4 linked regions of the Drosophila melanogaster genome follow. The protein of the gene in region 1 interacts with the protein of each later gene in a pairwise test. Each region holds a gene or a part of one and is shown in the gene's direction. Other genes may lie near its edges. The genes, in order: sprt, RapGAP1, Rbpn-5 and l(3)05822.

What was found.
Region 2: the proteins of sprt (region 1) and RapGAP1 interact in a two-hybrid assay, tested with the Drosophila melanogaster proteins (one large-scale study listed by BioGRID).
Region 3: the proteins of sprt (region 1) and Rbpn-5 interact in a two-hybrid assay, tested with the Drosophila melanogaster proteins (one large-scale study listed by BioGRID).
Region 4: the proteins of sprt (region 1) and l(3)05822 interact in a two-hybrid assay, tested with the Drosophila melanogaster proteins (one large-scale study listed by BioGRID).

Annotation. Positions count from the first base shown.
Region 1 is NT_033778.4:11,394,152-11,399,639, reverse strand, and holds the start of sprt (sprite), read left to right. Parts: upstream 1-2,207; 5' UTR 2,208-2,746; intron 2,747-5,215; exon of another isoform or gene 5,216-5,287; intron 5,288-5,488.
Region 2 is NT_033779.5:7,575,426-7,581,042, reverse strand, and holds the start of RapGAP1 (Rap GTPase activating protein 1), read left to right. Parts: upstream 1-2,062; 5' UTR 2,063-2,483; coding exon 2,484-2,806; intron 2,807-4,435; exon of another isoform or gene 4,436-4,798; intron 4,799-5,029; exon of another isoform or gene 5,030-5,309; intron 5,310-5,617.
Region 3 is NT_033778.4:21,087,668-21,093,387, reverse strand, and holds Rbpn-5 (Rabaptin-5), read left to right. Parts: upstream 1-2,383; 5' UTR 2,384-2,461; coding exon 2,462-2,516; intron 2,517-2,576; coding exon 2,577-3,118; intron 3,119-3,173; coding exon 3,174-3,958; intron 3,959-4,022; coding exon 4,023-4,158; intron 4,159-4,216; coding exon 4,217-4,333; intron 4,334-4,396; coding exon 4,397-4,705; 3' UTR 4,706-5,002; downstream 5,003-5,720.
Region 4 is NT_033777.3:18,295,332-18,300,750, reverse strand, and holds the start of l(3)05822 (lethal (3) 05822), read left to right. Parts: upstream 1-1,871; 5' UTR 1,872-2,627; intron 2,628-5,419. Other genes in the region: Polr1E (RNA polymerase I subunit E), read left to right, coding at 1-378; Dlc90F (dynein light chain 90F), read right to left, coding at 994-1,329.

The DNA of each region.
Region 1 (5,488 bases):
CAGCTTAAAATCAATTGATTTACATATCTTTGATTTAAATGTCTTTAACGCACACAGTAATAACTGCGTGGAATGTCAATTTTAAACCATTGAGGCCAACCTATAAGATAAATATCTGCCATTTTATGCTCATGTGATATTAAGTCCATCTCTAAGATACACAATTTTTAGTTAGTGCTCTATTATTATGTAAAGCCATAATAAAAGTACCTCACAGGGAACTATGTTTTAATGGGGTTGCGTGATAGTAACCCTTAGTTTAAACATTCTTGTTCTTCTTGTAAAATTCTTCATTTCCCTGCGCAATGTGCACACTAAATTAGCCTGTTGCCCTAAATCGAGAGCACCTGTCACCTGTGCAAGGACTTTTGGGCGTTCCAAAAACGCGATCAAGTTCCGCTCCCATTGGTTTTTAGCTGGTGAGACAATTTATGTCGTCTCGCGATCTTGGAAATGCTCCATGGACACGCACACCTTTAAGGAAACATGAAAAAATGAGGATCGGCAGTGGAAAGTGAGTCCAGGTAGCGCAACGCAATGTTTTCTTTATGATGGCATAAATACGGTTTTAATTGAGGTTGCAAGCGGCTACTTGTTCGGTCATTGAAATCTCATCCACTTGGCATAAATTACGAAACAGGACTCTCCCTCGGTTTTTTCCATTTTTCAAGTGCCACAAAATGTTCGAGTTTATAATGTTTGGCCTGGCCTTTGGCCCCGACCTCATCCTCAATTCAAGAGCCGATCCCAAATCCCGATTCAATCTTATTCTCGGAAAAGCGAGGGAAACCCAAAGCAAGTTTAGTTTTTCCAGCCACTTGCGGTCTTCGTTTCTTTTTTTTTCGGTTGTGTCGTTGTTTATTTTGTTCGGGATGAAAAACCATAAAAAGTGGTTTCGCGTAACTGACAGCGTCAAGTGATTTTCCTTTGTTTTTCTTTTCGGAGAGGAAGTGTTTCTATTTCTTTCGTTTTTATTATTCGACAGGCAACAAATATCTCTTCGATTCTCCGCATTCTCGATCTTTTGTCTTGGTGCGCTGAAGAAACGAAAGACTGAAGTCACAAACGTGTATGGAAATGAGCAGTCATCCGCTTTCAGATTTGGTAATAGACTCGGTCTAACGGTAAAGCACATTTCACTCGCAAGATTTGATTTATAGCCAGTGGCCCTGCCTCACATTAGCTAATCGAAACGATATCAGCCCGCAGAAAGTTTCGCAATTAGGCGGGCAGAGGGTTAAAATATGACGCACTTAAAGCGCACGAGAGGCGCATGCGTAATCCTTTTTTCCTGTTTTAATTTTTGTTTAATTTTGATTTATGCCCGCTCTTGAATTTCGGCTTTGTTGTGTATCTATTTTTGGGCTGCATTTAATGAAGGGAAATACAATCAACGCCATCAACCCCTACGCATGCGCATTTTACCCTCGGCACATGGCAAAGGGTTTTTTTCGGGATTGTTGTGATCATTTTAATTGACTTTGCGCACGAGCGAACTCATCGGACCGAAGCGCCTAAGATAAAGGGCAGATAGAGGGCACTATATAAAACCGAGTGCCATATGTCGATGACGCCGATCTCGGTGATGCAACTGCATCAGCAGGCAAATGAGCAGTTTAAGATACGCGCTGCATCGTAAAATCTCAGATGCAGCGGCAGCTGTCAAAATAGCCAAAGACACCCACCGAAAAGTCGAGGGAGTGGAGTTCAATGCACTGGAACTCTATTACCACTACCCATCTTACCCATTACGATCACAGCGCCTCGGTCGCACCAACTATAACCCAATAAATCCAAATCCAGGGACCAGTGCACTTCGCAAGTACTCGCTCTACAGAACCGCTCTCTCACTCACTCACCCACCACCAGTTCAACACACCTAGCTCCTTTTGAGCTAAAAATGGATATACATATATATGATTATGATAATTCTAAACCATTCTTCGAGTTAGAAATTTAAAATTGTAGAACTTTTTACTAAGCCACCTAATCATATTTCAAATTAGATATCTATCTCAATTCTTTTACGCACAATTTCATATTTGTCTATTTTTTCACAGACCTTTTCAGCTATTTAGCTTTTCTTTATAAGCAAATCCATACAACACCGACAAAAAAACAGAGAGGGTGCAGTGGTGAGAGCCGGTGAGTGAGAAGCCGAGAGAGCGGCTTCATGTAATGCCCGTTTGCCGCTAAAGTCACGATGTTCAGACTTCATCCAATCGTCGACGCGATCGGTTGTGCTCGCACTCTCCGTGTAATCCGAACCCGATTTTGTGATTAGCCCTCCGCTGCGCCTGCGTGAATTCGTGGACCTTCTTCAATCAACCTGAACCTACGTGAATTTGTGCGTTTTGTTTACTTGTTTACTTGGCCCATTTGAAAGCAAATTTCCTGCATCCTGCATAAACAGAGGAAACGCACAGCGGAAATAGTATGAGTTATTAAGTCGCTGCAAACGGAAATAATTAACAAAAAAAAAATAAAACTAAATGTGCCGATCGCGTTTTAGCAACGGTTTCGATGCGGTTTCAAACACAATCGGTTTAAGCATTGACATCATTGATTTATGTCCCAAGTGTAAATAATTCGCACAATACAATACACCAAATTGAGGCTTCCCTCCCTCCACCAAATCAAACAAATCAAATGCAATGAAATGAAATGTTGCCATTAATTTGCGCACATTGCCATTGTTCAGAGTTATTGGTTGACTTTTAACTGGGATCCGTACTACTTTAAGCTGGTAAGTAGTTTTCATCGCCCATAACAATGGCAACAAATGAAGAGCGAAAATCACTTGCGAAAAGCGAAAGGTTAAGCAGCGTTCAATTGTTGCATTCTAAAATACAGTGCGGCCTCTTTAGAGCAAACGGGGTCGTCGCAGACAAAACAATAATGATGATGGGGCAATTTATCTCTTCAGAAGGCCGCTCCTCATCTTTACTTGGAATTTGTCTTGCATAATCCCCTTGAAAAACAATTCTGATATCTGAATATGGAGGAACTTTCGAACTGTTGTATAACTCTTTCCTATCATAACAAAAGCGGCAGGGATAATTGAAGGCTCCGAAATAAATTAGTTAGCCGACCGTCTATTAAAACGCGATTTGGTTTGTTGATGAGGCGCAGATAAGGCAGTAAATAGCATGGTTTTTTGCTCATTATGCCACAATCAAGTTCAATGTCTCGTCATAGAATACAGAAAAATTAGGTTCAAATTTCTAATAGAATTCCTCAAAGCAGCCACAATCAATCAGTCAAAAATGACTCGATCTCTAACCGACCGACCATACATATAATTACGTCTGAGAATTTTGCGGTTGAATCACAATCTACGATTCTAATACGTTCTACAGACCCCTTTCGAATCGTGGCTCAAATGCAGTGGCAGGTTCTGTTGGTTCGGCTGGTATCTCGGTCTGAACATCACCCATCTCGCTTTTGTCATTAATTTTAATTAGATATTTCCTTTTGGGAGTCACTGGCTGCATTTGAATAACAATTGAACGCCCTCTAAGACGAAATGTATTCTCCGCTTCCATTTCTTCATTGAAATGCCAAACCCTTTATCGGCAGGATGTCTTTGGGGTCTCTAGAGTGTCATTTACATATTCTTCGGATTCTTTTGGCCGTTCGTCTGTGACTTTTGTCTGTTTCTCGATTTTTTTCAATGCTAACAACCTAATCAGAGTTTGTTTTTCGGGTATTTGTTGGATATGGTAATTTTCGAATGACTGTATTTTATTTTTTATGTGGGCTTCATGTCGTGATTTCTCGCCCATGTGTGGACTGAGGTGCATCAACGCATTTATGCTGACTTTTGTTTCGTCTTCTTCGTCCATTAAGTGGGAATAGAAAGCCGAGATTTGGCTAGATAACTTTGCATACATCGTCGACCTGTGATTGTTGACTATTCGGGGTAACTGTTTCGGTTGCGGTTTTCACTTTCATTCAAAGAGGCGCTGTAACAATTAAAACGAGAGCTGCAAATCTCTTCATCTTCTCAAAATAAACCAAGGCAAAACTATCCGCATCGATTTCGCTTTCGTTTTGATCGTATTTCCGATCATTTGACCAGGGCAATTTGCACTTTCTTATAGCGCCTAATCGCAGGCCGACTTTCTAGAATTGATTTGCATAAGTGATTTGTCCAGTGCGGAGACTTTCGCGACCCCAATCTGCATCTCGGTCTAAAGACAGCTGACGTTCTAACTGTGAACGATAAATACACACTGTGTAGAAAAATATGCCCGAGACTAATTGCCCAGTGAAAATGATGGGCAATTATCAGCTGAAATGGCAACAGCTGCACAGCAAACAGCCCGTACAGTGATCACTCCGCAAACAAACAATGGAAATCTATATATTTTGGTGGTGAACTTGGGGTCAATTCCATGACCGTATGCCGTATGGGTCGAAACAAGTTTCTTAACCTAATTATCTGAGCCGCTTCGTAATATATATTTAAAATCGAGCAGATTTTGTACATTCTTTCTTATCAAACTTATGTTCAAATGATGGAAATATAAAGCTGCAAATCAATTTATTAAAAAAGAGAACAAAGCGGTTGCCCCCGTCTATGATATAATAAAAAGTTTATTAGAACTGCTTGCCAAATAAACAAACCAACGACCTTTTCTACAGAAGTCTCTCAAAGTAGAAAGACAAAAAGAAAGATATAAACCCCAAAACAAAGAAATTTACATATTTATGTCAAGTCCATTAAGCATATTCTTGGCCAGTTGTGGGGCCATCTTAGCCCGGTCTGGTCCATTGAGTTGGCCATGTAGTGAGCAGCCTCCGGGGCGATTAAAATTATCAATGTCGGGGCTGCGCTTGTGACACTTGTGCACACATAATAATGCCCGACAAGTCAGGCCAATTGTCAAGCTGGGCTAATTTGTGAGCAGCCGCAGTGTGTTAGTGCCAAGAGAAATATTTCAGCTCGTAAATAACTCGAACAGACAAGCTGCAGGTGTTGGGAAACTACAAACTAAGCAGGGTTAAGGTTTATAGGAAAACCACGTTGTTCGTAAATAACAAAAACAAAACTTATTTGGTGGCAAGCCCGGGGGGCAAATATTTATTCATAAAGGTAATTATAACGCCAAAACGTTAGTGAAACTGAATTAAGTTAATTTTGATAATTGTTTCAACCTTGTAGGAAATATTCAAATATGAAAATAAAAATAAAAACATGATTTCGTACAAATGCCTCCTGTGAGGATTGAACTCACGACCCCTGGTTTACAAGACCAGTGCTCTGCCACTGAGCTAAAGAGGCTCTGTTGAAACGCTGGCCAAAGCGCAATAGGCATAACCGCAGTCAGAACGCTTCTAACAGCTGGAAAAGTTAACAGCGTCCGTATCTGCTAGTTCTAACAGCGCACAAGCCGTTGGCTTTTTCCATTTGCATTAAAGCAGGCGTAACAGCCAGAGCTTCGAATCAAGTTATTACGCGTATATATAAACAAATATATATATA
Region 2 (5,617 bases), on another chromosome or scaffold:
GTTTAACAAAGAAATATTAAGCTTATTCTTGATCCTAAGCTATACGATTGTATAGAAATATTTCTAAATGTATATGAACATACTAAACTATCTGTATCTATTTAGATTGTTTTCAAAAAATAGTTGTTACTTGAGCAGATTTTTAAGAACACATAGAAAAGCCAAGAGTTTTTTCCAGTGCAGTTATCCGAGACTGCGGGCAGTGCAGTTTTAGTTTTTTTTTCTACTCTGCGGTCAGTTTGCTGTCTTCTTTCGATTGGCACTGAAGCGGAGCATGCGATTTCCGCTTTAATGTAATTTTGACAACGCACACACGATGCTCGAGTGGTCATGGGGGATGGGGGCGGTGCTGGGGGGTTGATGTAGGGGGGCGGTTGCGATTGAGTATCGTCATCAAGGAAATGTCATGATAAATCTTACTCGACTTTCCCGTGGCCGAAACCGTTACAGTAGCAACTGCGAATTCGATTTCGATTTGGGTTTTCGATTTCACTTTAAATTGGTTTTGATACTCTGTAATTAGGAGATCGCGATAGGGGGAAAATTAAACATTAAACACTTATTAAGTCACATGAATTTTTGAAATGCATCAAAAGGCATTAAAACAGATAAGAAGTATTTCGACAAAATAGAAATGCCATTTTCTATTTTGAATGCAGGCAGATGCATTTTACTAAAAAGAGTATCTTGAAGCTACAACGACTTGATTTCTTTTTTATAATTTTCATATTTACAGCTCTCTTATCGAGCGATTTGTTTTGCATGTTCCATTTATCTGATTTGCTGGATATTCCATTACCTGTTAACTCGATTGCAGCGGCATTTAGCAGTTGTGGAACCACTTTTCGACGCCACTGTCTTCATCCCCCCCATCGACTTTAATGCACTTATTCTCCGTCCGTTTTTTGTGCATATTGCGACGCCCTGAAGTCTGTTTCCTTATCACCCTCTTTTCGAGAACCATTAAAGTTCTTGGTGGTGACCCGCAGCAGAATCGTAAACCCAGCTTGACTCATTGATGCATCGATGAGACATTTATATTTTCCAGTTGTCCCCACACTACTTTTTCCTATTCCAAGTGCCATAGAAATGAGGAAAATCTGAGTAAAATCGTCGCTTATTATGCGCAAATCAATTTCCCAGCACCTGAAAATGTCAAACGAAGGTGTAAGAATCAGATAAGAGAAAATCTTGATGGATTGTTTAATTAATTAACCAAAGTCTAAATGGTGATTGATTGGAGCATTGAACTAGACAATGGTTTCTATTCATGGGGCGTGTTAAAGGGGGCGGTGCTGAAAACCCTGAGATATCCGATAGCTGGAAATGGTAAATAAAAATAAATAAAGACGTCTCTATATGTACGGATTACACTTAATTTGTATATCGGCAGCAATAAAATGAAAACGAGCTGACTTAGCGGAATCCCAGCTCGGTCATTTATCACCAGCACAGTAAAACTGAAATACAATCCAAAACTAGTAAAAACGTTTAACTGGCGCTTAAGAATGGAATATACCTTTTATATTTATAAAAGAGTACAATATCCACTTCTTTAGTGGTTTCTAAATTAAACCTAAAAAATGTAAATTTAATTTTTAATAAAACACATTAACCCCAAAAAGGTGAGAATATTTATTATTTATAGTACATTGTTTGAATTAAGTCCTCACATGATTAGTGAGAGGTTTGGTTTTATCTTTTATATGTTAATTGCGCTGTTATGTTACTGTTATTGCATTGTATTGATTCATCGCTTCTAAATAAATAAATATATAAAAAAAAAAACATTGTTTGAACAGATTTTTGATGCTTATATGATCGCTTTAAGTACATATATTCCCAATTAAGATCAGAAGTACCCGGTATGTTTAAAATAATGAAATCGCAAGAAATATAAGTAAATTCAGAAAAAAACACTATGCAATAAAACGTGCGAAGTTATAAAAACAATGGAAATGGAAAGAGAGGGAGAGCAAAAACAAGCGAGGGAGAACGCTCCAGATAATGGAGCTCGGTTCTAAAAAGTCGGTTCTTGGGGCTCTGTTCCGATTCTTTGTTGCGGTCAGTCGGAAAATCGAAGGCGGCGCGACGCGACATCATATCGAAACCCCAACGAAACGCGATTTATGCAACGAACGAATTCTAATTTATGCAAAGAAAAAAAAAATGTAGACATAAATTAATTTTATAACTATAGTCACATTGTGTAATGAGTGAATATAATAAATCTAAGTGTAAGCCCGGAGTAGAAATGATAAGAGTACCAATTCGCAGTGAAAAATATAAATTAAAAATATAATATATTCTACAATCTATATGGAAAGTTATAAACGTATATATTTCAATTAACTTAATAAATTCATTATAATAAAACAAACTAATAAAAAACACATGCAATTACTAGAGTACATAGTACATATTCTGTTAGTACATATTCTCAAGAGTAACCTTTCAAAATTTAGTAGATTTAGGCGATAAAAATGAGTTCCTACAGGACATTGGTGGATCATGGCCATCCGATTATAGTGGGAAGCAGTGAAATATCGCTGGCCCCGAGTTCGGCAGCCAGTTCGCCCAAGCCCCTACACCGGATGATCAAGTACTGGCGCAACAGTTCCGGAAAAATTCCGGGTCTCCGCAAAAGCGAGAGTTTCGCCGAGTATCGTCGCCATTCATCCAACTCGGCCACAATTTCGGGAGGATCAGGGGGCAGATCGAGCACTTCGAGTGCCAGGCAATTGCAATACCAGCGACTGGAGATGGAAAGCTGCGAGAATATAGATATGCTGACAGAACCACTAAGGTAAGTGCACTTAATGATAAAAACTAGTTTTTTTTTTCAATTTATTCATTAATAAATTACTCATTTTTATGAGTGCCAAGATATTAATGTGGTTAATCGTTTAGAATCAGAGCATCAGGTGGTCAAGAATTTAAAATTTGTTTGTGCCTAGCATTTGAAAGGTTTTAAAATGATTTTACCCATTTATTACCTACACATCGTAAACAAATCAATTTTATTTCTTTCTCTTGTAAATCACTTCCATGGAGACCGAGATAAATGTTGAATGACCAAATATATGCATGCATTCCATACCTGTTTATATAGAAACTACCAAAGAAGTGGCATCCATTGTCTTGCGGTTCACTTTGATGTGTAACCCCAAAAATGTGGGGCATGCAACAGTTGGTTATCTGTTTTCGGGTTTTCGAAACGCCCCTCGCAGCTGCGGTTTATCGTGTGGTTATCAGCTGTTCGTTATCAGCCGCCAACGAAAACATCGGCAAGCATGTGGATGATAAAAACGAGGGAACAAGTGCAACACGCCGACGTCATTTTGTGGATTGTGGAAACAGTTCGCGGGAGAACTGCATTTTTTGCATTTACAAATACAAGTCGAAAGTTTGTGAACACTTTTCAAAGTGATTCTTTTTCCACAAATTGTTAGATTTGGTGTACAAGACAAAAAACAATGTTTAGTCAACAAAAGTTGACGGAAAATTCTTTTTTATAACTACTATAACATACATACATACATATTCAATTTCGTATTCTGTAATACTTATTCGGGTTGACATCAGAAATCCAGAAAAATGGTATATCCAAATTGTGAAAATACTTTCTCTCGAAAAAGGCTCATGAAAGAACGTGTTCTGGAATAACACCACTTTCCAAGGGGGCGAACGCCGACTGTTTTTGGCTCGTGCCTCTGTTTACTTGTGTATTGGTGTCCCACGCCGGTTCCGGTTATTCGGTTTGTTTTGGTTATCTCTCGGTGGAGGGAAATCATTGCCTTCTGCATACTTTTGGGGTACACTGTGCAAATAATTAACTGGCAACTGCATTGCCGGCTTCTTTGAATTGCATTGTTTTCCAAACTGTTTACTTTGGCTAATGCGGGCAGCTCCGCTCTCCCCTGGCAACAACTCTTTCTGTTTGCCTAAACTGCGCGCATTTGGAATGTAAATAAATGTAAATAAACAAGAATTTCGCCCCCATAAAGGCAACAAAAGCAGTGAGAGCAGAACAACAACAAACTCGCTCTCTCGCCTTAACAAAAATGCAACGTGCACGTACAGTTAAGGTCGCAGCAATAGCACGGATTTTTATAAAATTATCTGCTCTTTAATATGAATTAATGCATATCTGTATCATCACATGTTTTACATGTTATTTCATATATCATTCCACTCTTCTTTGTCTGCGCTGCATTAAATAATTTTTATCTGTCTAAGCTTCATAATATATGTGTACATAAATAAAATCTCCATAACTGGATCCACAGCCACTATTATTTTGGCCCCCACTGTGGAGTTTGTGGATCGCATTCGCCAGTGGAACCTGAAATCTGAGCTTCGTGCGCAACGATGTTGTTCGTCGCTCGCATTCGTGTTCGTTTGGGGCCAGACCCGCAGCTTTTCTGCTTTGCGACTCAGAGTCGATTTGTGAACCAACTCGTGTGGGCGTCCGAGCCAGCGAGTGTCCGACTAAGTGTGTGCGTGTGCGAGGACGACCGGGCGTGTGTGTGAGCGTTGTCGCGCGTCTGCGTCGCGAAATCCTGATATCGGGAATCGGAACAGGAATCGTAATATATTTCGGGTCTGCGGTCCAGACGCTGATGCGTCTTCTTCATTAGCTGTTCGAAAAGTAACGGTAGAACGCAAAGCAGTTGCAAATCGACAGCAACAGAAGACGGCGAGAAGCGCCACGAATGGAAAAATCAAAACAAACAAGAAAATTGTTAAAAAAGAAGAGCAAACAACAAACGAATACTCGAATATGTGAAAGTGCTAGGTAATCAACCAAAAAAATTATAAAATTAATATAACCAATTAAGGCAATGATGATTTGTGGTTTTGAATTCTTGAAAAAAGTGAACAAAAACAAATCATGCTAAGCATAACACGCAAACTTTCTTCAACAATTAATTTGCAATTGATCCCACTGAGGCGGTTTCCTAAACAGCCTAAACAAAAGAAAGAAAACGAAAGCAATAAATAGACAAACAATAAGCAAAATGTTTGACGAACTTTTAATTGAACGTGTGTGCTTGAATAACAACAAATTGAAATCGCATTTGTTGGCCTTATCAAAAAATTAGAAGCGAAAGTGGCAAAGGTGTCTTAATGGGCAAGACAAATAGAAATCAAAATAAGTTTGCCAAAAAAAAAAAACAGCTGCATAAATACGCGCACGTAGTTAAAAGTGAAATTTTTAAACAAAAATCGTTGGCTGAAATTGAAATGTAACGAGCAAAGAATCCAAAAGCAGAAGCGAAGAAAGTGTTGAAACCAAGTGAAATTGTGTGCGTAATATTTTGTGCAATTCAATTACGAAAATTCCATCCAATAACAAGTGCATGAAATGACGGAATAACATAATCAGCACAGACAAATGTCAAACCACTGAAAAGAAACTACAAATGAGAAATATTTATAAAAAGAAATAACCACAAAAAAGTTCCGTTTTTGTCTCATTCCTCTCCCTCTTTCTTCATCTCGTTTTTGGCGGTTCCCGAGTTTTCTTGCGTTTTGTTTTCTGTGTCTTTGGAGTTCGATTGAAATGCGTCACGCATGATTATTACGTGTATTTTTGGTTTTTATAACCATTTTA
Region 3 (5,720 bases), 9.7 Mb from region 1:
TTGTAGTTCAAATATTCCAAATGATATCAAAAAAACCTAAAGCCAACTAATATAAAACATCTTACTCCAATCGAATTGAATCAAAAGACCCAGCTGTATAGTTTTGTTTTTAAAACTCAATAAAATTCAATTTAAAACTTAAATAAGTTCTTGTTTTTTCGAGTGTTTCATGAACTCGGATACCGAAATCAGTCGTCTGCCAAATTGATGGGGATGTTTTTACGATTACAATACAGCACAGGTGTATTTATTTGAATGGCTGGCAACTGAACTGTTTACTATTTTCCAAACAATTTTCCGAAGAGCTTGATAAGCAAACAAACTCATTCAGTGCACTTCTTCTCTAGGATTTCTTGAATATCTTAACTTTTTCGGCTGTAACCTAATGAAATTGTCTCTAGAGGAGAGCACTTTATCTTCAGGCAGTTGATAAGCCAATTGATCTATAGAAGCTGGATGTTCTGGGTCATGGATCTCACCTTCGATTGTGCGGAATACAACGGCACCGCCGATATTGTATAGTGCCAGGATGAGGATGAGGAAGATGTGGGTGAACCATCGGCGCGACCACTTGTACATGCCGAAGGTCATCTTCTCGCCGAAGCTCAAGCCCGACTTTGTGATATCGAGGAAGCCCTCGTAGCCCTTGGTCATAAAGTTGCCGTATCCGAAGGGATTGGCCATTGGTGGCCAGTAGGGTCCCTGTGTTCCATTGCCCGTGAAGTTCGTTTGGGCCGTATAGGGTGGCTGGGCACTGGGTGGCATCGATGCCTGGCTCATTGCCGATCCGCTGGTCAGATTGTGGATGTTGATCCTGGGCGGTCGATTTGCCCGCCGTGAAGGCGGCGGTGTGCTGGGAATGGGTGTTATGCTCTGGGTTTGCGACATGGTCGGTTTTTTTTTTGGTATATCCGGGAATCTATATGGATTCGCTTTGCAATTTTCTAATTGATATCCGTAGGAACTCAAAACATTGGGCACTTTATGGTCATTATTCAAGTTCCGTTCACATACATATATCGCGGCGGTTGTACTTATATATTTGTATTATTTTTAAGTTTATAAGTAGAAATGCCGTCGCGATTCCAAGGCGCCGCGTATTTATTTCTTCGCGTACTTTTTTTTCCCGCTTCCGACCGCCTCGTTCCTGAATCCAATGCGAACTGAACAGACGCCAAATATTTTGGCCAACATCGCTGCTGTTGTCGCTGGGCATAATGCTGTAGTATTTGTATCGGCCACGAATCTCCGGCTGCCGACTATGACGACATCGAAAGTCATGAGCTCACAAGCCTGCCAACAAGTCCAAGACCTAGAAGACCCAACGGATCTCAGCGTACACTGACGAAAAAAATGGTCTATGTAATGCCTAATGCTATGATTTAATTAATATTATTGGCTATAAGGTGGTTAACAAATGTTTAAAGTTAACATTAGTTACAGCGTACAATTATTTTTTACCTATCGACTAAAATGTTTTCCAATTTCTGGTAGTGTACAGCCATGATAATTTTATAATTAGTCAAGTTTTCGGCTTCCTCAGCCGATGCCGAAATTCTGAAATCGAGTTTTGTTCTGGTTAACGCGTAGTTTTGTTATCTCAAATAGTTTGCTATATTGTTATATTTAAATATGTTTTCTCATTAGCTAGGCATTATTGAAGTATTCATTTTCCTCTCATAATTTATCAGCTCTTAGCGTTTTCTCGCGTTTCTGGCGCTTAATAATTTGCATAAAATTAAAAGAACTGACGGTATTAGTCATTCATGATCGGCAGTCATTTACCTTTTCATAGAATTGTGTCTAATATATTCTGCCGTTGTCATTTGGCTTACACACAAATGTTGAAACACTTTCTAGGAAATGCTTAAGAAAATCCTAAATAATTAAGAACGATTAAGATGCAATTATAAACATTATACAAATTTAAATTATATGGTATTGTTTATTTATATTCCTTACCCATTTGTTTTCTTTTTCTATTTATAGTTCCTGATGGCTGATGATAACAAAAAATTCGAGGAATATCTAGATTTAGATTTTAGACTAAGATATAAAAGGACAAAGGAGTGATTTTAAAGGATTCCGACTTTTAACTTAATAAAACGGGTTCTTAAAAAGGACACATTAAAAGGACATAAAATAAGAATACATTTGCAAATTGGCGAAGGGAAATTATTAAAACTATTTTACCAAGTATCTGTAAGTAAATATTTTAAACTTTCTATACTTCTATAGAAAACTTAATCCCAAAAGATGTTTATCAAGCTCAATAAAGTTAGATTTTGAAAACCTTTTTTAACGGCACTGCCAAGCAATACTAAAGTATTAACTATCGGTATTATTCAAATATGGTAACACCAAGAGCAGTGTTGAAAATCGCTCAAATGTATATGTTCTAATTGGTGCGCTCACATATGTACATATAAACTAATAAATTGGCCATCACACAATATAGAAAATGGAAGAAAACGAGACCCGGTCAGAGGCCAGGGAACCCACGGACCTGCCCAATGGTAAGGCAGCACCACAGGAAGCCTGAACAGCCGATAACTAACCCATAACTCCAACGGCAGGTGAGGATGACGCGACCAGCCAGCACAAACTCAGTCACCTGCAGAACGAGATGCGCAAAATGCAGAACGAGTTCAACACGCAGCGGGCGAAGATGCGGGAGCTGTACATCCAGAAGGAGGCGGAGGTCAGCCAGAGCCAGCAGGAGCGACGGCAGCTGCAGGCGGAGCTGGACGAGCTGAAGACACACCTAATGGTGGCGGACCTTAAGTCGCAGAACGAGCTGCAGCTGAGGGACCTCAAGGCGCAGGAGGAGATCTCCTCGCTGCAGCAGCTGGTGCAGGACACTATCGAGGAGACCGCGCACTACAAAGGCGAGGTGGAACGGCTCAGGCTGGAGCTGGGCAAGTACCAGCAGATTCAACAGCAGACGATGGCTCAACAACCGCAGGCCGAGTCATCTGGCGGTATAGCGCCGCAGGTGCTCAATCAGGTCAAGAAGACACTAGGCTCTGTGCGTAAACTGGGCACCGACTCCCTGAACAGCAGCTTTCAGCAGGACGAGGACACCCGGGCATCGAGCAAGGGCAATGGCAAGCAATACGTATGTTTTCGGGACTAATCTTTCAACTATCAAATTAACTGAGCTTATATTGCAGGCTCCTGAGGAGGCGGAGATGATGCACTCAATTGTCGAGCAGCTTCAGGAGGAGATGAAGGCACTAAAAGTGAAGCTGCGCGAACAGGACGAGCAACTGCAGGCCAAGTCGGCGTCCGATGAATCCGCCCTGCACAAGTCCACGTCCATGGACGTCGCCGAGAGCGCCTGCGAGTCGTGCAGCTTGGCAGAAAAGAAGACCGAAGAGCTGGGTGCCCATATAAACAAACAGCAGAAACAGGTGGATCTGCTGCAAAAGCAGCTGGTGGAATCCCGGGAGACACTGGTTAAGGAGGCGGCATTGCGCAAGGATCTGGAGGACCAGTGGCAAGAAAAGCGGGAGGCCCACAAAAGCGAAGTACAAAGCCTGCGTGACCAGGCCAAAACCAACGAGCAGCGACTGCTGGACATGCAGCAAAAGTTTCTCGAGACCAAGGACGAGGTTATTAAGCAGATCCAGCGCGTCTCCGACGACCGAGAGCGGGTCAACAAGCAACTGGAGACGTTGCAGGCGGACAACGACTTTCTGTCCGGTCGCTATCTGGCCACGTCCGAGGAGATCGACAACCAATATATCAATCTGCCCAACACGGTCGTCGAGCTCCAGGAGCTGATACTGCGACAGCAAAGCGAGCTAATCCAAGCACGCGTCAGCAGCGAATACGAGCGACAGAAGTGCACCAGCACTGAAGATGAGATTCAGATCTTGCGGGCCCAGCTGGAGGAGAGCAACAATGAAAGGCGGGCCTACAAGCGCAAAATGCAACTAGATATTAAGTCACTGCAGTAAGTTACAACCTCTTGTCTATGGTGGTGTTCACTTTGGCCCACGTTTTAAATGAATTTTCAGGGATCGGGTGACGGAACACTTGGTCACGGTACAAGCGTACGAGACTACCAAAACCCAACTGGAGCGCAAAGAGGCTGAGCTGAACAAGCAGCTCTCCGAGTGTCGCGTGGAGATCATTGAGCTGCAAGAGGCCAATGTAAGCTATCATATTTTGTTGTCACACTTGATTCTTCGCTAACCAGATCACATTACAGGAAAAGTACGCCAAAACAAATGCAGACTACAAGACGAAGATAAAAACACTACAGGAGGAACTCTCCACCATGGAGACTGTTCAAAAGGACTTTGTCAAACTATCTCAAACGCTTCAGGTGAGTGAGATATAAAAATATATGGTTTATTCACTTAATTAATTACATTGTGTTGTGCCACAGATGTCGCTGGAGGAGCTGCGGCATGCCGACACGGAGGTGCGTTGGCAGGACGATGACGATGTGAACAACTGTCCCACGTGCAATGCCTACTTCACGGTCATGGTGCGCAAGATCCATTGCCGGCACTGCGGCCACATCTACTGCGATAAGTGTCTAACGAAAACGGTGCCATCTGGACCACGGAAGCGAGTGGCCCGAGTCTGTGATATCTGTCACACGCTGCTCACGCCAAACACCGCACCCTACTTCAGTCAGGGACAGCCGCCGCAGCAGCAGCAAGGCCAGCAGCAGCAGCAGCAGTCCAACTAGGCGTTTGGGCTCCAAGCCCAAGTGATTGTGTATTATGTGTGAAGTACGATTACGATTAGTTGGTATCTCCTTGAACTCTATTGCTCTATTTCTGTGCTCCGATACTACGATTACGATCCGAGGTCAAACCTTTCCAATGCCCATTTCCATTTGCCAATGTCTATTTCCGATTTTGTTGTTCCATTATTTTGGCCCTATACATAACGTAAGCGATGAGTTGTCTATGTTAGCTTTCGTCGTAGGTAAGTTTTCGTAACTGAATTTAACTCAAAGCAAATATACAAATTAAAAACAATTAAATTTTTGTTGTTTGTCGCCGCACATCTCTACTTGAACCAACTTTGCCTGCAATAGAGTTGATATCAAAGTAATGAATTGAGTTGTTTAATTCAAAGGCGAGCCATGCAACATAAAGTTTGTGTTCTTGTTTATTTAAAAATGCTAAGAAAAGAGTTTGTAAATTATTGTTAACAATTGTATTTGTGTCTTCATTTGGTTGCGAGGAGCTAGGATTGGTATAGGTATTTGCTAAATATTAAAACGTAATAACAATTTCGGGCATGCCCATATAAATTCAGTATATACAACTCTCACTTCAACTACCAAATAATGATAAACTAATACTGCAATCTCCGCACTCAACGAAAAACGTTAGCAACTACAGACTTCACAACACACGCACAAACACGGAGGGGGGAATCACACTACTTGAGTAGCAATTACGTCTTGTTTTGGCACACATTGTCTGCGGAAGAGATAGAAAAATGATTACCCAATTAGCCCGTCGCCGGGAGATAGCTAGATTTCAATTCGATTTCGCTTACCTCACCATAGAACACGACCTGCTATCAGAGCAACTATAGTGACAGCTGCCACGCCCACGATGCCCATCATACGATTACCTGGATTGGAAGAGTAGAAGACACAGATCAGTAAGAATTGATGGCAGTGTGTAAATCAAAGGCGTAGGAAACTGCTGCCCCAAATTTCATTTCATATGTACACTTTTAGAAGG
Region 4 (5,419 bases), on another chromosome or scaffold:
GACGCCTTGCAGTCGCTAATTTCCCTTCGTTCGCGTCAAATGCAAAAGGCTGAGCTCTCTGGTATCACGGAGAAGATCGAGAATGATATACGCCATCGTTTTGCGGATCCCAATGTGGCAAAGAAGGGAACTCGCACCAATTTCAGCAGTGAAAAGGCACTGACACACTTTATTGTGATGGCCCTGCTCCTCAGTGAGAAGTTCGAAGTGGACATCAATGTCCTCTCCCGTGCTTTGGCCACCACCAAGGCTCGGATCAAGCAGTACGCCCACATTGTGAACGCTCTGCCAAAATCCAATTCGGACATCCTTAGCCTGCGCCTGCCCAGCAAGGTTCCGGCTCTAAAGTCGGGCCGTCGCTTCCAGCGCAAGAAGTAGGAGTATCTTCAAGGACACCGCGCCCGCCATCGATTTAACAAACCCTGGCGCGCCAATTACATTTATTGCATCCAGGTACTTCTGATTTTGTTATTTTGGGCAATGCCAGAAGGAATATTATTATTCTAAACGATAGAAGGTTTTGATAAACTAAAATAAATAAAGAAATAAGAGAAAGACCATTAAAGTTTAATTTTAACAAATGCCTGGGAATTTAAATCGATTTTAGACCAATGGCCAATTGCTGCCATGGAAACGAAAAATATTCCCACGACCCAAAAAATGATGACCCATTGAAAACAGTTTGCAATGATTAACTTATTATGCTACGGTATTATACACTTTTTATTTACGTTTTTAGATTGAAAATCAAGAATAACATTAGGCGAGTACACTGGCAACGGAATAGTTGCTTGCTAATTGCTTGGAAGTGACGACAAGGTTTTCAAGTGCTCCATAATAAATTTTGTTATTACAGCAGGATGGATGGCCGATCAAAAAAGTATGGTATTTGTGTTGTTGGTGTGTGCTGGTGTACGACGGCAATCTTGTTAGTCCCTCCCCCTTTTAAGTCATCTTCATCGCGAATTCCGGCAGTCCTGCCATTCCTCCACTCTAGACGGCCAGTCCGAAGACCGAAACGATGCAGTACATGGTCTTGTTCTCCCAGCGTACTGTGCACGATCCGTCGGTGTCGTTGTTCCAGTAGCAGGAGCTGGCGGTGTGGAGTCCAGCACCGTTCTTTTGCATGATCATGGCGGTCACAATGTACTTGTAGGGCTTCTGCTCCTTGGTGAGCACCGTCAGGCAGTTCTCCACCACCTGGCCGGTCCAGTTGTTCACCTTGTCGTGCTGGTAGGCGTTACCGCCGATGGTCGTCTCGATGGCCTCTTTAATCGTCTTGCTCACGTCGTCCACAATGAACTGGCTTTCTTCGCGTGAGTCATCCATCGTCGCAGCTTTGATTTGCTTCTAACGGCAGCTGGTCAAAAAAGTTTACGTACTGAGCTCAAGTTTGTATTGTTGTCGTTGTAAATGTGCGCGCGTTTTTGGGCTCGTCGGCGGCGTTCGAGCAGTCCAAATAATATATATCGGGATTCTATTTTTCTAAGGGATGCGGAAAGCAAAGTTTGCTTTTAATTTGGAAGTATTTTCTTGGGCACCTTGATCTGGTCAGACTGTGTTGCAATTTAACCGGAGAAACGGTTACATCGTGGGTCATTTCAGCATCTTCACACTAGAGATTTCAAGAGAAGAAACAGTTGTCTTTTATTAAAAACAAAGGTTTCGCTATCAACATTTTCCAAAGCAATTAGTCAAGGAGAGTATAATTAGATTAAGTACTTTCAAAAGGAACCAAACAAGTTAAAACCTATTATAACCATGATGCCAGTGGAAACACATCTAAGCATTTAAATTAATCGATAGAAAACAGTGCTGAAAACCGCGGGAAAATTAAACTTTTAATCGCTGGATTATTTCGACTGCAAGCCACGGTCACTCTGGCAGAATCAACATAACGGACGCGTTCGCGGCGCAATAAAAACGAAAAATAATTAAATTATTCCATAACTCTTCTGCGACACCATTGAAAAACATCGACGCATATCAAGGCCGACAAATATCGCTATTAAATGCACAGCTGAAAGCGATTCGTGCAGCACGTCGTTGAATTGAATTAAATTCGTTATGGGAAAGTGCCTTGGTGTGTGTGTGCGTGCGTATAATTAAGCAAAAGTATTTAGCAAATCGAAGGCGCACATTTCGCAATACACGCTGCGAAATAATCGGGTGATAATTGTCGCAGCTGCAGGCGCACTTCCTTCTCCATCTCCTGCTTTCTTCGTTTTTGTCTCTGCGGATACGTGCTACTACTTTTGCAGCTGCTGTTCAGCTATTTAGCGCGTGTGTGTGAGTGCGCTCCGCGGCTGCTGCTGTTGTTGTTTTTGTTGGCTCACCTCTCGTTAACCACCTTGAATGCGAGTGAACGAGCGAGAGGGGGTGAGAAGAGTGCAAAGTTGATGCCCGCGAGTGTGCGCTTGTCTCTCTGTGTGTGTATGACAACAAATTGAGTGCGACTGTGTGCGTGCGGCATTAGTCACTCTCTTTAACTTTTAACTGTTTTGGTCCACCCTCTGCGAACCAAAAAGGCAAAGACAAAAAAAAACCACTAAACCAACTTTGCGGATCGGTTTTTTTTTTTTGAATCGAAACGAATCGGATCGGAACGAATCGGAAATCACCAAAAGGTTAGTTACCCGCAATTGATATTTAACCACAACATCACCCTGACAACTGCTTGCTTTTGCAAACATACATACATATGTAACATCACTCCACCATTCTCATCAAAGTTTTGCTCAAGCTACTTACTTAATTGAAATTCCAGTCAAGGTCGCATTTGTTAATTAATTAAATGTTTGCCCGGCTGACTGCAAGTATAAGGCAAAAGGGGAAACTTGGCGACTGCACAATAGTTATTGTACAATTCAAAAAGTATTGCATAAACCGATATGCTACGTTTGTTCCGACTGTTTACTCAAGCCTCAAGCGATAAGCGGGGAGTACAGTGACATTTATGGATGGGATGGGAAACCCATTTTCTGTTTTGACTGCATAATCGCCAGCACACGAAAAACACTGTCATTGCATTTAACGAATAACTGGAATTATTAGAGAACAGCTGCCTACATAAATACCGCTTCAAATGGTCACCATTGGTCACTAAATACACTTTTTTTACGAGTCATACATTTGCAGTTTTTCTCTCTGTGTAACTCTGCACGAAGCTTCTTCTTTACCCATTAATAAAATAGAAAACCGAAGGAGTTTCGTTTTCGTTTTGTCACTTTCGGACGCAGCAGGTGGTGCATTTGCGCGCTTACCTCACTTTCCAGCTGACTGACTTTCGGGCGATCCTCACATGGTAGCCATAACCATATAACATATGCTATTCCAGCACCCTTTTTCTCTACGCCAGTGCCCAGTGATAAAAACCCTTCGCAGAGCAATCTTCATATGACAAAAACAGGAAATGTATATCACGCAATGTATATATACATATATATATATATATATTACACAATCTTTTAGAGAAGTGCAATCTTATGAAATGCCAAGCAATAAAGCGGTTTAATATGCTTACTTAAATCGTATACACCGTTTCGTTATGATAACGGCAGATGATATCAAAAAGTATCAGAATATTAAATATTATTATACGCCCAAGGGTATCATTTATACGACTGAATCTGATGCTACACGCAAATGGCACAAAAGATCCTCTTTATAGGCTTTTCAAAGTGCATTGTTTTTTAACTACTGAAATGGGCGGCAAGTGTTTTGCTTTTGCACTCAGTACTCGGATACACATTGGAGTGCACAGAAATGTGGGCGTGTTCGAAAGTACTGATGTAAGCTTTCAGCTCTGATTGTGTTCAACTTTGACCCACATTCGCCAAGTGTCCCGCCATGAAACGCACGAGTGGATTGCAGGGGTAGGAGATGGAGGAGCATTCAGTGATGAATTTCATCTGCTGCTCCCCATATATTTTACATGCAAACGTGCAATTTTCAGACCGCATTGTTTGTCTAGAATTTGTGGGTTTAGCACAAAACTACATTGTATATGCAGTATGTCTATCAATAGTTGTGTGTATGTAAATACGCTTTTAGAACGAACTGCACGAGCTGGAATGGAACGGCAGGGAGAACAAAAAGTACAGAAAAATACATACATACATAATACGTACGTATGTATACGATGAACAGGAAAACGTGCTGACAATGTAGAATGGTTATTTCACCTATTTCATACTTATTCATTCCGCTTTTGCATAGCAAATAAAAATTAGTAGGAAGACTTGTGAAGACTATGCAAAATCTTGGGTTAAGTAAGTAAAACCCGTTTTTGCATTTGGGCTTTTGCCTGTTCTTCGCCTTTTCCGGTCTCCCCTATAAGAATTTTAGATTTTTTTTTTCTGTTAAGACTGCTGCTGCTTAGAGCGCCAAATTTGCCGATCAAATATTTGCTAGCGTGTATCTGCGTAAAGATTGTTGTCGCACCAGATTCAAGCTGTATCCACAAGCGCTCATTAATCTTTAACCCCTCGATGATAAAGAGCTCTTTCGACGAACGAGACTGCCTTTTAAAGATCGCCAGAGCTCAATAAACCTTAACCTCAAAGAATTGAACAAAGCATGGCTCTGTTTTCCCATCATTGCCCATCTTTATCGCACTTGATGTAAATTGAATGATTTCGGCTTCGTTGTTCTCTCCGTAATTTGCTTAATTGCATGAACGCATTGCGGGCACGTTCTTTTCGATTCTGATTCTGCCATATTGGGCAGGTTTTGAGGCGCTTGAAAAACAACTACTGACACCAGCGAAGGAAGCCAAAAGTTGGGCGTGTTTTTATAACCGTTAATCGTAGAGTAGGGCAAAGCTAGCCGAGTACAAAAAATCTTTTTTTGAACTCCGGAAGCTTGGACCACGCATCGTGGCTTTTTGCCACGTCACTCTAACGCCCTAAAGCCGTTAAAGCGGTCACGCCCACACTTTTGAAAATTGTTAAAATATTTTCTCATTTTGTTACCCAACATCATCGATATCCCAGAAAAATGATGAAATTTTGCATTCACACTAGCTGAGTAACGGGTATCTGATAGTCGAGGAAATCGACTTGATCATTCTCTCTTGTTTCAGTTAAGTTCATTTAACTTGCAATGTATGGCATTAAATTCAATTGACTTCGACGTTACGACGAGCATTGCCTTCGTTTTATTTTGTTCATCTGATGGGGGAGCTTTTATTGCCGCTGCTCCCATTTGCTATTTTTACGCTACACCTCAAGAAATGAGTGTTATTTAATATTTATTTCACTTGATGTATATTTGCTTTAGAAACACTTCTTTTTTTTACAATTCTTTTATCGTGTAAACTGAATCAAGCGACATTACAAATTACTCATGACATTTTATAGTTTTTGAAAGGAATACCAGAGGACAGAAATGAGTGGAATGATTCGAAAAGAAATGATTT